Linked DNA regions of Schizosaccharomyces pombe. The protein of the gene in region 1 purifies or fractionates together with the protein of each later gene. This does not show direct contact. Each region holds a gene or a part of one and is shown on either strand. Other genes may lie near its edges. The genes, in order: tra1, rvb1, taf9 and sgf29.

Region 1 (5,059 bases):
GCAGCACTGAATGGACATGCTGAAATTTGCAAATTACTACTGGAAGCGGGAGGTGATCCTCATATTAAGAATATTTATGAGAAGTCACCTATATATGAAGCTGATATTCGAAATCAGCAAAAAGTAATGGACCTTTTTCTGGATTTTGAGATTGCTAAAGGTAGTGAAGAAAACACTGGTGATGAAGAAAAATTGGAAGATGGAATATGATCGTTTTATTTGATAATTTCTGATTTTTATTTTGTAAAAAAATTTACCTCTTTCTTTTGTAGGTTGTGGGAAGCTAATATTTTTATGCACCTGATGCATTTTTTTTTTCTTTTGGAGCATAATTTGGGGTTATTCTTATATTTTGTTAAGTTTTTTACTGTGTAATTTCTAGATGTTTTCTCAATATAATTCGTTTTCAGCGATGTACGTTGCCATGTATCTGTGTAGAAAGTTCAAGTGATGTTTATTAAAAGATGGATTATCTCAATAGACAAAATGTTTATCTTCCATCATTTACAGATAGAAATTGAATTGGAAAAGTGCTTTCATTTTTGTTTAAACCTTGTAATTAAACCTATGTAGCGTTATACGTTGGAATAGAAAGAGAAAAGCCTACCGGTTGCGTTCAAAAATGGAACAAAACTTTATTTCTAGATTTTATCAGGTTCGTTATTCATGGCAATCTAATCAAATATACAATTCATGGTTATAATCCCAAGGTTTTACGAGCCAATCGTCGAACTACACGACAATATTCTTCTCGATCTTCTCTCCACATCTTGCACGCATCGATGTTAGCACCACTTTCATCGTTTGGTTCCGCCAACATCGACATTACCGATAACAGTATTTTTTCAACAGATTGAACAGGAGACCAACGTTCTGAAGACGACTCATACATATTTGGATCGTCACCAGGTGCATGTAGGATGGAAATGCAAACCGTCCCATCTTTGTAAACTGAAATGAAGGTTAGTCTCGAAATTTGGATTAATAGTATCTGGCATACCATTTGGATGGAAAAATTCACACTCAAACTTTAAAGTAGGGGGGCCAAGAGGATAATCCTACATAAAAAAGTTAGAATCCAATAAAAATAAAACTAAGCACGTATCAACGTGCGCTTGAACACCCCGGATGTACTGCCATGCGATTCAAAGAAAGAAACCAAACCCCCAAAAAAAAACTTAGATAGATCTTTTAAATAAAATTTCTTCCTACTCATCAATAAATCGAAGGATTCATCAATTACTAATGAATAAAAGCACTTCTCTTAAATGATCATTCTAAACGAATGGATTATTGAGTTACTTTCTTTATTTACGCTGAACAAATGTTAATTTATGAAAAAGAGCGCGTATTTTTTAATAAGTAGTTGATACATAAAACATGCGAAACATCATACTTATCCACAACTTAAATCACATGTTCAGTCTCCATCAGGTTTATAGTAAAGGACTTACGGAAGGAAATTTCAAGGTAGCAGGGTATAACCCACCTTCAAATGGAGTTCCATCAGGGCCTTGAATTAGGCAATCCCAAGTAAAGAAATCATCCTCATTCGATGGACCTGCAGTAATACCATCAGGCCCATTCTCCGTTAACTCCTTATACTCCTTCATTAACCGTCGCAACGCCATAGCTTTACTCATTTTGGAAATCAATTAACTTACTAATCGGTAAGATATATTAAAGATCACTGACTAAAAGGTAGCCTAAAAATGGTAATGAACAGATTAATGAATGAATGGTTTGTTTACGACAAATTATGCAGCTGAGGCTAAACGAACTTTTGTGGTATCACTCGCTATTTTTATCTCGTTCATCATTTTAGCAACTTCTACCGCACAAAATAATAAGGCCGTTAATTAAAATAGCGAAAACATGTAAAATTCATAAAGTGATTTAGAGGAAAGAAATGCAGCTTGCTCTATCCCACAACATTCCAATAGTAATTGTTAAATACTTAGGAAAACGTATCCGAGTGCAATTGGAATTTAAAAAAGAGCTTGCGCAGAGATCCAAGCATCTGATGGATGTATCACAATGCGAACATTGGCATAATCGGCTTTGTGATGTTGGATTAGACTCGAAGCAAAAGGCAAACACAGCAATTGAAATTCGAGATGCACTGGATGATGTGTTGGTAACTGAAAAGACGAATTTTGAAACTTTCATTCCTCTTTTGGAGGACACGTTGTCTTTGCTTGAAAAGGAACGTCCTGTATTTTCATCGTTAGCAGCTACACATCGTTTACGCATTGCATTGCTTGAATTGCTCAAGAAATCTGGATCCTATAAAGGTTTTGAAGCATTCGTTAATCGGACTTTTGCCGTGCTTCTTCGTATAGTCGTTAATGATAATGAAGAGATGGCAGTGTTGGCATTGAAGCTTGTTGTCCTTCTTTTTAAGGACCACAGTAGCCTTGCTAAGGGACATGTTCAGGAATTTTTATCCATTGTCGTTGAAAACTACAAATCCATGACCACAGTTGTTTCAGAAGCTTTCCCACCTAGATCAGCTCCGAATACTCCATCCTCTCATCCCATGTCTGCTGCATCTTCTGCATCTCCTGCTGAAATTGGAATGGAACATGCAGGTCCAAAAATGATCCCAAAAGCTTCTTCGAGTTTCAAGGTCACTGCTGAATTTCCCATTATCGTCTTTCTCCTATTTCAAACATACAAAGATCTTATTCCGAAAATGCTTCCTTTACTTGCTCCGCTTGTACTTCAATTTATCTCACTTCGTCCTCCACCTCAAGCCGAAGCTCGTCGACTTGCAGAATCTCAAAAAGAGGTTTTTATTGGTGTAGTCCCTTCTTTGCGTCGAAATCATCTTTACAATGACCTTATTTCTGCGCAAATTAAATCATTCTCTTTTCTCGCCTATTTATTGAGAAGTTTTGGTGCTGCTCTTAAACAGTTTGAAAGCTCGATCCCAATATGTACCTTGCAATTGTTCATGGACTGTCCTTCCGAATTATATCAGACTCGAAGAGAACTTTTGGTAGCTACAAGGCACGTCTTATCGACGGATTATTTGAGAGGGTTTCTACCGTATGTAGATCAACTACTTGATACCAAAATTCTAGTTGGTTCTGGAATCACTTCTCAGCATTCATTACGACCCATGGCTTTTAGCATGCTGGCAGATATGCTTCATTATGTGCGTATGGAATTAAGTCCACAACAAATTTACAAAGTCATACTTCTTTATTTCAGTATTTTGATGGACGACTTTTATACTTCAGCTATTCAGGCAATGGCTACAAAGCTTATTTTAAACTTGGTTGAAAGAATTGTTGCACTAGAAGATTTTTCCACTAGCCGATCACTTCTATTTGCTATACTTTTATGTCTCTTAAGAAAATTGACTTCTCTGAATTTCGAGTTTATGAAGCTGAGAGATTCTTTACAGGAAAATGCTGACTTAAAGCAAATTAAAATAGAAGAAAATAAACATGATCTTCCTATGTTTGAGAACCCTACTGGAGCTGCCCAACCTTCAGGTTTGGATAAGCTAAAAGATTGCATATTTCTTTTTAAAAACACCTTATTAGGTATTAAGCCTGTTTTGTTTGGACTAAAGCAACGAAATATTCCTCTTGCCAACGGTTCCATTTTTACAGCTCAGGAATGGTCTGAAAAGTTACATCTTAGTTCAACTAATGAAGTTTTACTGTTTCGAAGATTACTTGTGGAAAGTTTAAAGGGATTCAGTTATTACCAGACAGATGAAAAAACCGGTGTATTCAAGTCCTCGAAAAATCTTGCATACTCTCAACTTGATTCTTCGTTGACCACAAACCCTTCTAAACTCTTAGAAGAGAAGGAGCTCTTAGAAATGTTAGCAACTTTATTTTTACACTTGGACCCATCTGTTTTCGTCGAAATTTTGGAATCCGAGTTTCCGAATATATTTGAGTGTCTAGTAGATAATCTTGCTTTATTGCATATTTTCCAATTTTGGATGTCTAATGAAGTTACTTCTGTCAACTGCACGGGCATCGTGCTGTCTTTTTGCTGTGACAATCTAGCTAAAATAGGGTCTGGCCAATCCACTCGGGTTTCTGTTTTATTGCGATTATTCAAGTTGGCCTTTATGACTGTGAATGTTTTTCCCGAAAAAAATGCAGAAGTCCTGCGTCCCCATATATCCTATATCATTTCAACTAGCCTCGAATTGACTACTGATGCTGTTGAACCTTTAAATTACGTTTATTTAATGAAAGCTTTGTTTAGAAATATCAGTGGAGGAAAATTTGATTCTCTTTACAAGGAAATACTACCACTTCTCCAAGTAATGCTAGAATGTTTCAACAGATTGATTTTTACTGTTACGTCTACATCCCAAAAAGAGCTGTATGCGGAACTTTGTTTGACTTTACCCATTAGACTCAGTGTGTTGTTGCCTCATATGAATTTTTTAATGAAGCCATTGATTGTTGCATTAAAAGGCCCCCCTGAAATAGCTAGTCAAGGGCTTCGAATATTTGAACTTTGCTTGGATAATCTTACTCAAGAATTTTTGGATCCTTTATTGGACTCAATTATGCCGGATTTGCTGATATGCCTGTGGAATCATTCACGCCTTAATCAATCCAATAATCAATTGCATCAAAGTGCTGTGAGAATATTAGGAAAAATGGGTGGTCGAAATAGACAAATATATCTTGGTACCTTTGGCTTTGATTTTTTGCAAGATGAAAATATTTTTCCTTCAATCCAGTTTTCTTTCCAAGGCTCCTCTCAGAATTTTAGCTTAGAGCACTCCAAATTTTTAATGTCTTCATGTGCTGTTTTAAACAATCAAAATTCCGATTTAGAAGAAAAGAAGCAAGCATTTCAAATGGTCAAGAATTCGTATTTATTACTCTTTGCGTCTGCGAAGCCCGATGAAGACTTTTGGGAATCTATTGATACAATGTGCCGAGCAGTTGTAGATCGCATGGATAAAAACTTACAGCAAGTCTCTAATGGTAGGTTGTGCCCTGACAAAGATGAATCTTATTATCTGCAAAGATCTATTGTCTCAAACATTTTTAAATCTTTAGTCGGCTCAATG
Region 2 (4,166 bases), on another chromosome or scaffold:
CTTCAACCAGCCTACCATCAGAATCGGATCGTGTTCTGATGGCTCCAATTTTTGCAAACAAATCAGAGTCATTCGTAGACTAACAGCATCTGTATAATCCACTGATTTTTTTGACAACCCATCCAAAATTTGATAAACAAGAAGAATGGAATTTGTGCTTCGTTGTCCAACAATTAATACGCAGGACCTACATAGCCTTTCGACGAGAGTCATTGGCCAATGTGTAGAAGAACAAAGCACACGAATAAGAACCAAACTATTATTAAGCTTTTGGACTTCTGCAGGAGTTTTGGGCTTTTTGGCAGTAGCGAGCGACTCCAAAAGACGAAGTGGCTCGAATGCAGTATATTTTATAGCAGGATGCTCCGTTACAGGACCTGCCGGAGGATTTTTTAATATGTTGGCCAGAATTTGCAAAGAACGTACTCTCGTCTTCTCAGTATTGGACAATGCAAAGAATAATAAAATATAGATAGAAGTTTTGCAAGAATTGCCATGAGTCCAAGAGCTATAATCCTGAAGAAGTAAAAGCTTCTCCAAAACATTAAGATAGGGGAGAAGGACGGTTTTATTGGTTTCTGCATTATTTACAACTGGAGCAAGGACAGACAAGATCTGGGGAAATTTTGCTTGCAGAACATTAGAGGGCACATACTTAATAACCAATTCCAGTAGTTGAAACGTGTGTCCCTTAAAATTTTTCTTTAAGTCCGTGAATTCCTTAACTAAAGTTAGAAGGGCCACCAAATAAGCAGTTGGTGTCGCCTCAGTTTTTTGCTCCTTCAACGTCCCCTCCACTGCACTAACGATTACATCGAATTCGTTTATGACACCTGCAGTGGAGCTGTTTCGAATCTTTCGAAGTTCAATTTGCAATGGTTCATTCACTTCAGCCATGAATTTTTAACCTGCCCAAACTTTCCCTGTAGGATGGTGTGAAAGACAACTCCACATCAGTGCGAAATTCACAGATATGTTCGCAGTGCATTGCACATCGTTATTTGTTTGGCGAAAAAAGATTGTGAAATTAGGAAATTTCCTTACCAATCTTTTGATGGATCACGATGTGTGGCAGGTTAAGTTTAAATTTATTGATAAACATTAATTCGCTGTTGCTAGACGGAATTGCGGGTATTTTCCTGGTACATGAGAAAATTGAGATGTAAACAAATGATTCCCAAGTTATTACCGTTTATATTCATTTATTTATCTGTCGCTAATAAAATTATGTTTTATTGTATCTTAAATGAGCGAGCGTTTAAGCACTACAAAACCTATCGAAGGATTACAGATTGCCCGGAGATTAAAAATAAAAAAAGCAGAAGAAAAAATCAGCGAAACAGTAGTAGCATCGGATTAAGCAATCCAAACAAGTTTTCAATATATATATATATATATTTTTTTTTTTATTCGTTTTTATGCTCACCGTATTTATTTAAATATATATCGCTATTCTAGGATGGTAGTTAATCAACATATGGGATGTATGTAAATAAGAAAATTATAATTCATTAATAAATCAAGAATAACTTTTTGAAAACATTTAGATGTATTTGCGTTTATTACTTAAGTACTCGTTATAACAGTTTTAGTTACTATTTTTTTTGCATCATATACAGTAAAATAGAATTCCTCAAAAATCGATTGTTAATTTCTGTTTAATTTTTTTTTTTAAAGAAAGAATACACCTCTTTGCTTTATTATTTCATTTCCTGTCTTTTTCATTACCTCAGCTCTACTTTCTTCTTATTTAACTTGGTACTATTTTGCTACACCCAACCCTAATGTCACATTTTGAAAGCAAGCTATCCTCAACCAACTACTTATAAAATGGTCCAAATCAGCGAGGTTAAGGGAAATGGCCGTGATAATAGGATTACTACACATTCACATATCAAAGGTTTAGGCCTAAAAGAAGATGGAACTTGTGAATCTGTTGGTGGAGGTTTCATTGGACAAGAAAAGGCTCGTGAGGTAAGCATTCCTGATAATTCTTTAATATAATGTATTCTAATATATTTTCTTAGGCTTGTGGCATCATCACTGATTTAATCAAGTCTAAAAAATTTGGTGGTAAAGGTGTATTGTTCGCTGGAGGTGCTGGTACTGGTAAAACAGCACTGGCCTTGGCGATTGCCCAAGAACTTGGTCCTAAAGTTCCTTTTTGTCCTATGGTGGGAAGTGAAGTCTACTCTAGTGAAATAAAGAAAACTGAGGCTTTAATGGAAAACTTTCGAAGGGCCATTGGTCTTCGGGTAAAGGAAACAAAAGAAGTGTATGAGGGTGAGGTTACAGAAATGGTTCCCGAAGAAGCCGAAAATCCTTTGGGCGGTTATGGAAAAACCATTTCACACGTCCTTTTGGGCCTCAAAACGCATAAGGGTACCAAACAGCTCAAATTAGATCCTAGCATTTACGAATCTTTACAAAGAGAACAAGTGTCAACCGGGGACGTTATTTACATAGAAGCCAATACAGGTGCCGTAAAGAGAGTGGGTCGTAGCGATGCGTATGCTACGGAGTTCGATTTAGAAGCGGAAGAATATGTTCCTATGCCTAAAGGTGAGGTACACAAGCGGAAAGAAATTGTTCAGGACGTGACTCTTCATGATTTGGATATTGCCAATGCCCGCCCTCAAGGAGGACAAGATATAATGTCTATGATGGGTCAGTTAATGAAGCCCAAGAAAACTGAAATCACCGATAAGCTTCGTGGTGAAATTAACAAGGTTGTCAACAAATATATCGAACAAGGAATCGCTGAACTTATTCCTGGTGTCTTGTTCATCGACGAGGTTCATATGTTAGACATTGAGTGCTTTACTTATCTCAACCAAGCCCTAGAAAGCACTATTTCTCCTATTGTTATCTTTGCCTCTAATCGAGGCATTTGTACCATTCGGGGTACTGAGGATATTCAAGCTCCCCATGGTATTCCTACGGATTTGCTTGACAGATTACTAATAGTTCGCACACTCCCCTATTCAGAGTCAGAAATTCGTTCCATTTTGCAGATACGTGCAAAAGTTGAAAACATCATCCTTACTGATGAGTGTTTGGACAAGCTGGCTCAAGAAGGTTCTCGTACTAGTCTCCGTTATGTTATACAACTGTTGACACCCGTTAGCATTATTGCCAGTTTGCATGGTAACAAAGAGATTGGTGTACAAGATATCGAAGAATGTAACGATCTTTTCTTAGATGCTCGCCGCTCCGCTCAAGTTGTTAAATCATCTTCAGGCTTCCTTCAATAAAAATATTATCCTTAATAACGATCTACCCTTACTTATTTCAACTTTTTGGTTATATGCGAAACTAGCTAGATTTACACAGGTTGTGAATATATATACCTTTTTATTTATAAACTTGTAAATTTTTTTTAAGCTTAACCAATTTCTTCTTTTTTTTATCCAGTTATATTCCTTCCATTCCGGCATTTATTTATACTGTAATCATTTATGAATACCTAAATAAAAGTCAGGATCAATGAATTTATTTAGAATTCAATACCTCCTAGGGTTTTTTTACATGCATGGAAAGACTGTATGAAGTACTTTGCAAAAGCTGCAATCATTCTGTAAATAAACTTAAAATATTATAAGAAGGTGAGTTCTTTTTTTTTTTTTTTTTTTTTTTTAAATTTGAGTTGAATGCTATTTATAAATCTTCTGTTCATTTTTGATTCCTACTTCCACGAAAGGACAAGCTGCCACTTGAGATAAGCAAGTGCTAAAGAACGAATAACAGGCAAAAAACTTCAACAGTAACTTCATAAAGCATGATAGACAAAAAGAGTAATACAACATTTGTAATACGCGGAAAAAAAATTCCCCATCTGCGATAACTGTTTCGTCGTCATTTTAGAAATTGATTATTTACATTGCAACACCATCGATTGAGCAATTTTATCAACACACACAGTACTCTTAGCGCACAGTAAGCAACCCCGTTTGTTATGATATATTAATATGCCTCGTTAGTTCGTCAATATACCACTTTACATAAGTGTGGCCAAAGTAAAGCAATAATGACGAGACCAGGAGGAAGGGCAACCCAATATAAGTTGAAGAGAAGACTTTGAATGCTTAACTATTAAGTGTACAAATGGCAGTTTTATCAAGAATTATGAAACCTTACAGGGCCTTTCAAAGGCTTCCTTTTGAGCT
Region 3 (3,663 bases), on another chromosome or scaffold:
AATATTATAGGAGGTCGTGTAGTCCATGATTGTCCAACTACCAAAGGGATAGGCTATTTTTTGGAACCAATTCTAATACTTTGTCTTTTTGCAAAAACCCCTACTTCACTTACTCTTACTGGAGTTACTTCCAGTAATGAAGATATTGGTGTCGATGTTTTGCGCACTAGTGTATTACCCTCTCTTCAAAAGCGTTTTCAAGTTGGTGATGAACTTGAGTTGCGCATATTAAAGCGTGGTTCTGCTCCTGGCGGAGGAGGTGAAGTGAATTTTTTATGTCCTGTAATTAAAGAGTCTTTACCTCCCATTCGTCTCTCAGAATTTGGAAGAGTCTTCCGAATCAGAGGAATTGCTTCTTCAACTAGAGTATCTCCCGCTTTTGCAAATCGCTTAGTAGAATCTGCTCGCGGAGTTTTAAATCCTTTTATACCCGATGTTTTCATTTATACAGACGTTCGCCGTGGAGATGAATGTGGTAACAGTCCTGGGTATTCTATCACTTTAGTTGCAGAAACTAATAAGGGTTGCTCTTATGCTGCCGAGCATTGTGGTGAAGCTGGAGAAACACCAGAAGATGTTGGTTCCTTTTGCGCAAAGAAATTATTGGAAGTTATTGAATCTGGTGGTTGTGTAGATCCATATACACAACCTTCAACTTTAACCGGGATGCTACTATCCTCTGAAGACGTTAACACAATAGTTGTGGGTCAACTTGGTATTACTTCGCAATTAGTTGTTTTTCTTCGGGATGTGAAGGCACTTTTCAATTGCGAATATAGATTTAAAGAGCTCGAATCAGGCCAGGTGGAGATGTCATGCTTAGGAAAAGGATATTTAAATGTCAATCGCCGCATTCAATAGAAAACCATTTATCAGTGGGTCCTTTGCTCGTTTATTCTTCTTAAACATCATAACATTACATTTAACATATTGTTCGGGTACTTAAAATGAACGAACGTCTTTTTGATATATATTTACTCTTTAATCGTACTAAGAAGTTCATTACCCATTAACTTCCCATTGCAATTACGACATGAGTATAAAAAAAAAGCACCATACATATTTAGAGATTTAAATACGTTTTTGTGACTCAGTTGTTTTAACGGTCTTGTTATGTTCATTTTCAATTATGGTTTGAATTTTTTTGGTTTCCTTTAAATTACTTGGTTCTGTTTCTACTTCATTCTGCTTTAATATTTCTTTCCCGATGCCTCTTTTTCAGAAAATTAGTTCTTAGATGCTCTTCTCATTTGAAAATCTCAACCTTTTTCCATGTCCTTTTGTAAAAAAAAAACACTGCCAATTTTTAGTAAATTTGTATCATCATTGATTTTGTATGAATGATCCTGTTCGTTTTATTATTTACTAAATGAGAGTTTTTACTTTACGCTGCTTATACTAAAATTTTATGTAACTTCTAAATTATTAACATTGGTGATACTAAAAGCAACTTTGATAGGAATTGCTTTAATGAAATCATTCCTTCTGCATAAATTAAAGTTTGCTTAGATAAATTTTTATGACTCGAAATATTTAGTAATGTATATGTAAAATAGCATTGTTGTAAACTTTCTGAAACAAGCTATTTAGTGGTGTGCAGTGGACTCACGCTAACTTCTGAGTGGATACAATTTGCAACGCTCGCAACGACCATAAATCTTTTTGGGTGGTAAAACAGAAAAATAACGGGAGTCGTATTTGTCTTCGCATATACTTATAGTATTTAATAAATCATGAGTTCTCCAGGAATAAGTGATGAATCTATAAAAGGACCTAAGGACGTTCGTCTGATTCATCTAATACTTAGCTCTCTGGGTGTTCCATCATACTCTCAAACAGTGCCTTTGCAGTTGTTAACATTTGCACATAGATATACACAGCAGTTAATCCAGGATTCACAGGTTTATGCGGAACATTCACGTGGGCAAAATGCTCCAATTTCTGTAGAAGATGTACGTTTAGCTGTTGCTTCTCAAATCAATCACTCCTTCACTGGACCTCCACCAAAAGAATTTTTACTAGAGCTTGCTATGGAGAGAAATCGAAAACCTTTACCCCAAATTCAGCCGTCTTATGGGTTTCGTCTTCCACCGGAGAAGTACTGTTTAACTCAACCCAACTGGATTGTCAGTAATGAAACCCAACAGAATCAACCAAAGGAAGAGAACTCCTCGGATTCACGAATGGAGGAGGATAAACTTGACTTCTCTGTGAAGTCTGAATAAATTTATTTTCCTTTTAAAGTTGTTACTAATGCCGGGGAAGTGCTGATGATTTAGATATATGTAAATATTTTTGAAGCGCTCACGAATCTTTGCAGCAGATGATTATGGTTTTATTTATATGATTTTGTTCCTCCAGAACTTCCTATTTAACTTGCGAAAGCAGGGCGTGGGTAATAAATCGTTTACAGTTATAAGGTACCTGTTTATTTGTTTATTTGCTACGAAATCAGTGTATGGAGCAAAAAAGTATACAACATTTTTAAATTCAGCTCATATTGTACATTACTGTACACTGTATCTTTTATATATGGTACGACATAGAATAGAAAAAAGTGAAAGAGACGGCAACAACATCAGTGACGGCGCGCTTTTTCTTAAAATGTTACAAAAACTGGAGTAATTCATGTAAGGCTGTGAAATTGGCATGAGCTCGTCGAGAGCTTTCTTCAACTACTAGGCTCATTTAAAATTTACACCGCACCAATGTTTCTTTATTACTTACAATTGCCTCTCATCATAACTTTGAAAATACAATTTACCACAATACTAGTGATAACATAATATCATGCATTTTAATTTTCTTTATATGACCTATACAGATCCCCTAAAAAGAATATAGTAGGGATACTCGCACGACAGCTAAAAATATATAAGTTATATAATAATTTTGAATCAGAAGGAAGGCAACGGAAATATCCACACATTTTTTGCGCTCTCGGACATATATTTCATCCGCGTTATTTTCATCATTTTCAAAATCATTTATCTCTCACATACTTCAACCATTTCAAAGCTCACCACAAACCTGTATAGGAAATATAAAGAAACTTGATGCTTTACGTAAACACAATTCAGAACTTACAAAAACACAAAAGTGAAAACTTGGTATTTAAGTCGAAAGTCATACCATTCGTAAAAAGAGTGAAATTATAATGTGTAATAAACACAAGGTAAAACATTATGTTCATTAAACAAAATCAGGAGTTTGATTGTACAATTAGCAACCATATGAGAATAGCCGAATGAAAAGTTTCAAAACAATAAGTATCCATTAACAGAAGTATGACCCATTAACTAGTTTTGAAACTAAAGAATTTTACGAAGGTCAACAACATAATGCAAAATTAAAGCCAATTTCTCTGAATGGATTTAAATCATCATAATCATAAGCTTTTAATAAATTGTAAAAATTTAAAAAACCACGTCGGCATTTTTTTGATACCTTACATCATACCGGGCATTCCACCCATGCCACCCATTCCGGGAGGACCAGCAGGGGCCTTGGACTCTTCAGGAGCATCGACGATGGCACATTCGGTGGTACCCATTAATGAGGCGACTCCACTAGCATCAACTAAACCGGTACGTACGACCTTTAGGGGATCCAAAACACCAATTTCATTTAAATCAACAAAACGATCCTTAGCAATATCATAAC
Region 4 (3,728 bases), 520 kb from region 1:
GTTCTTCGGCCTGTAGACGATTTAGTACAAGAAAAGCAAAGGAAAAAGTAGCAACACCGGCAATTAGCACGTAAAGAAAAATTTTTTTTTTAGAATTTGAAAACATAGTGAAAGAGTTTAATTAAACGAGCACGTTGCGCCAGGAGGTCAATTAGAGAGACGTGAATATTAATTGTCCCTTTGAATAAAAGAATAAAATAAAACCAAACTTAAAGATCGTTGAGAATTAAACAAAAGACTCCTTGAATATATGAGCCAGCAAACAGAATATAACTCTGAAAGGAGTATAATGTTTGGTTCTGAAAACAAAGCTGTGCTTGGTGCCATATTCACGTCCACCATAAATACGCAGTCATAATGTAACCAGAAGAGCAGCTACTCAAACCCTTAATGCCCTCATAGCGTTGGTAACTATAAATGCGTTAACTATATATACCGGGTTGCTACATTTCTTTATCTCAGAGTCCATTAACCAAAGGATTCATACATATACAATTTTTCTATTTTGTTTATTTTTATGAATAATTTAATAGGAGATACTCGTTAAATGAACTTAGTTTTAGTATTCAGTTTCCTCTATAGGTGTTTGAAATTTTTTCTAGACTGTCATGTTACTACTATTTTTTAAAATTAGATTCCTTGCAAAATGTCAAGGAAGCAAGCAGATTTGGCGTACATTAGCAATGTTAGATGTGCAACACGATAGAAGCAAGTACTTTGAATGAGCCCTTGTCTTGGCTTAAGTTATTAACATGCGTTAACGCCATTAATATATAAAATATAAGGAACAACTCAACATCACAATGAATAAAAAAAATGTTAAATCTGAGTTATGCATATTACAGATAATGTCATCAATTTTTTTAAATGCTGTGAACCTAATATCGAAGTGAATAAAAATAACCTTTAACTAATACCTCCTAAAAAATCTGAGTAAAACGTTCCAGTTTTAACCATTGTACTCTAACACCAAATGACGCTCTACCACTGTTTCTTTCCCAACTTCCTCTTCTCCTTCAAATCGAAGTTTACATGATCCATCAGGCAGAGTGCGAATGACTTCTGCCCGATAAAACGTAGTAGTTTCAGGATATCGAGCTAAAACATTTGTTTTTGGGCTTATTGGGGGTAAAGGAGTTCCTTTTGCAGGAATTTGTATAAGATGATTAGCTGTAGTTTTATAAATTTGACCTGCATTACCGTCATCATCCGGTTCTGGATCCTGCACTTCAAATCTATGGTTTTGTTAATATACTGGTAAAAAAATATTATCAACATATAAGCTTAGAAGTAAATTTGAACTCGCGACTGACAATATTTGCTTTTGAAAACTCACCTCTGTTTTGCTCCTTCTCCAGTCACTTTAATAATGATACATTGAATCCAATCACCTCCCTCGTTATGCCTCGTGTATGGTAACTTGAAAGCTACAGACATGCCAGGTGTAAAGGTTACTGTATTTGCTGTAAAGCTTGTTCCTCGGTTTCGACGACTTCTCGTCAAAGGACTATTTGTAATTACAGGTTTTTCATTGGCTTTTTCGAGTACATTAATAATCATCTCAAGAGATTGCATTGTATGCTCCAATTCTTTTTTCTGTTCTTCAGAGGTTTGAATTCCCGCGTCACACGCTTTAATTCTTTCTTCAATTGGATTATCGTCGCCATCAACCGTTTTATAACATTCTTCTTGTTTTATTAAACTAGACCGAATGGGATTTAGGCTTTCATGAAATTTAACCCACATGGATGTCACATCCTCTTCAGCATTTATGGGGCGTACCATAATATCCTGTAACTGATATTCTCAAACAACACTTTTCATCATCCAATTTCCTTTGGTAGGTGCTAACTCACTTACTAGATTGATTTGCATGATACTATCAGCTATGCAAATTACTTTATTACAAATTTCATTAACACTCGATATTGTATTTACCGTATCGTTGCTGCATTAGGTTACGTAGTTAACTATTCACTTAAGTCATGGAATACTGTCTGTTAACGAAGTTCGTTAAACGATTCTCGTTTAGCAACGACTCTAAATACTGTATGTCGTATATTTCCTGCTAGAATACATCAATTCCGATTGTTATACTGTTGAAACTACAAATCCCAAAAAATTCAATATCACAATGAAAGCTCTAGTTCGAATCATGTTTTGCTTCAATCCTAGCTAGCACTGTTAAAGTATAGATATAAGAAAGGACAGCTTTGTTGATAGACTAGTTAAATTAAAATAAAAACAGTTAAACGTAATTAATATATATAAGTTTACGTTATTCAAAACATTTCAAAAAATGTGCTACTCTTTGAAGTACACGTCAGTAAGGAAACACGTTGATAAAAAGCCAGTATTCAAACATAGACAGTGTTAAATTATCACTGGAGATGATGATGTATGGAATACATGTCTAAATTTAAGCATCATAGTTAGAACGACAAAATTGATAGAAATTGAATAGCAGTGTAAAACTTGTTGAAGCGCGCACACAAACAGTAACCTGTAACAACAAGTCCTATAATCAAGCTTCTATATTGACTTCAGTAGGCAGCGAGATTTTAAGACACATCTAGGTAAATTTAAAAACGCTTTATTCAAGCTGAACATAATTACCAGGAAATTGACCTTGTGCACCGTTAAGTCGGCCAATCCACCATTCCTAAAATATATATTAGTAAAGTCCTTGTTTAATAAGAAAAAAATGAAAATTTAAGTTTAAGTACTTACATTTTGATTATCAGTACGTGAAACAACTTCGATACGATCGCCAGCATGAAAAGATAAATCTCCGGCTGCTTGGGCAGCATAATCATATAAAGCAACAACATGCTCTGCGGCGGGAGCCGCAGCAGGTGCAGGCGCTGGTGGAGGTACGGGAACTGCGGCTGCAGCTGCTGCTACCGGTGCAGCAACAGGTGTGGTCACTGCCGCAGCAGCAGGTTGAGGCATAACTGGAGGGGGAGGAAAGGCCGCTTGAGGGTATTGAGCAGCTGCTGCTTCAGTTGTAGTAGTGGTCGTCTGAACAGTTTGATAACCTGCACTTGGGGTAGAATAATCGGAAGCTCCGGCAACCGATGGCGTTGAGTATGGGGGTGGAATATCCGTAGCTGTCGAAGAGGAGGGTTCGGCTGCTGCTTCTTCACGCTTTGACGAAAAGGAAGAAGAAGAAGAAGCAGTTGCATCTTTACCACCCGGTCCCATACCCGGTCGTTTATACGTCGGTTTAGCGGTCTTAAATTTAGTAATCGTCAAAGCCTCTGCGCGATCTTTAACATCGCCGCGTCTTCTTTCGTACGATTCCAAAATATCGGTATTGAAATCAAAGTACTGAATTTCGCAGTGACTCATCTTTTCATAAAGAACGTAATAGACATTTAATTGCATATAGTAAAATCCTTGGAATAAGGGAGCAATGAAGCTCTGAGCCAATGCAAATAGTTTAGGTAACTCCTCCTTCAGCATTTCATTATAATATTCATATTCTTGGGAAGATTGTTCAAAGGCGGTTTCAGCTTCATAAAGCTTCTTCTCATCTTTAAGGCTTTTATCCTTCTTTTCCTGAAGTTTCTTGAAAGATGAACGATGACGATCATAATCCAGCTGCTTATGATCGCGTTTCAACAAAAGCTTATCTACATCCTTAACAATCTTGAGCAGTTCACCAGTTGGATTGACAATGCGAGTGTTGATAACATCCATTTCAGAAGCCAAATTCTTTTGGAGAT

The links.
Region 2: the proteins of tra1 (region 1) and rvb1 purify together in Schizosaccharomyces pombe (affinity purification with mass spectrometry, with the first as the bait; one study listed by BioGRID). This does not show direct contact.
Region 3: the proteins of tra1 (region 1) and taf9 purify together in Schizosaccharomyces pombe (affinity purification with mass spectrometry, with the first as the bait; one study listed by BioGRID). This does not show direct contact.
Region 4: the proteins of tra1 (region 1) and sgf29 purify together in Schizosaccharomyces pombe (affinity purification with mass spectrometry, with the first as the bait; one study listed by BioGRID). This does not show direct contact.

What each region holds. Positions count from the first base shown.
Region 1 is NC_003423.3:1,902,383-1,907,441, reverse strand, and holds the start of tra1 (SAGA complex, phosphatidylinositol pseudokinase subunit Tra1), read left to right. Parts: upstream 1-2,023; coding exon 2,024-5,059. Other genes in the region: ribosome biogenesis protein Yar1, read left to right, coding at 1-210; ubiquitin-conjugating enzyme Ubc7, read right to left, coding at 698-951, 1,001-1,058, 1,455-1,643. UniProt on the Schizosaccharomyces pombe protein: Essential scaffold subunit of the transcription coactivator SAGA complex. SAGA acts as a general cofactor required for essentially all RNA polymerase II transcription.
Region 2 is NC_003424.3:4,922,434-4,926,599, forward strand, and holds rvb1 (chaperone, AAA family ATPase Rvb1), read left to right. Parts: upstream 1-1,813; 5' UTR 1,814-1,830; coding exon 1,831-1,974; exon of another isoform or gene 1,975-2,027; coding exon 2,028-3,254; 3' UTR 3,255-3,632; downstream 3,633-4,166. Other genes in the region: ribosome biogenesis protein Rrp12, read right to left, coding at 1-897; SPOM_SPAPB8E5.08 (uncharacterized protein), read left to right, coding at 1,147-1,458; protein Min8, read left to right, coding at 4,105-4,166. UniProt on the Schizosaccharomyces pombe protein: DNA helicase which participates in several chromatin remodeling complexes, including the SWR1 and the INO80 complexes.
Region 3 is NC_003424.3:336,659-340,321, forward strand, and holds taf9 (SAGA complex/transcription factor TFIID complex subunit Taf9), read left to right. Parts: upstream 1-1,643; 5' UTR 1,644-1,733; coding exon 1,734-2,225; 3' UTR 2,226-3,105; downstream 3,106-3,663. Other genes in the region: rcl1 (rRNA processing protein), read left to right, coding at 1-861; protein Mcp60, read right to left, coding at 3,449-3,663. UniProt on the Schizosaccharomyces pombe protein: Functions as a component of both the DNA-binding general transcription initiation factor complex TFIID and the transcription coactivator SAGA complex.
Region 4 is NC_003423.3:2,418,197-2,421,924, forward strand, and holds sgf29 (SAGA complex subunit Sgf29), read right to left. Parts: upstream 1,850-3,728; 5' UTR 1,786-1,849; coding exon 1,337-1,785; exon of another isoform or gene 1,236-1,336; coding exon 950-1,235; 3' UTR 542-949; downstream 1-541. Other genes in the region: pvg3 (galactosylxylosylprotein 3-beta-galactosyltransferase Pvg1), read right to left, coding at 1-106; BAR adaptor protein Hob1, read right to left, coding at 2,594-2,662, 2,731-3,728. UniProt on the Schizosaccharomyces pombe protein: Chromatin reader component of the transcription coactivator SAGA complex. SAGA acts as a general cofactor required for essentially all RNA polymerase II transcription.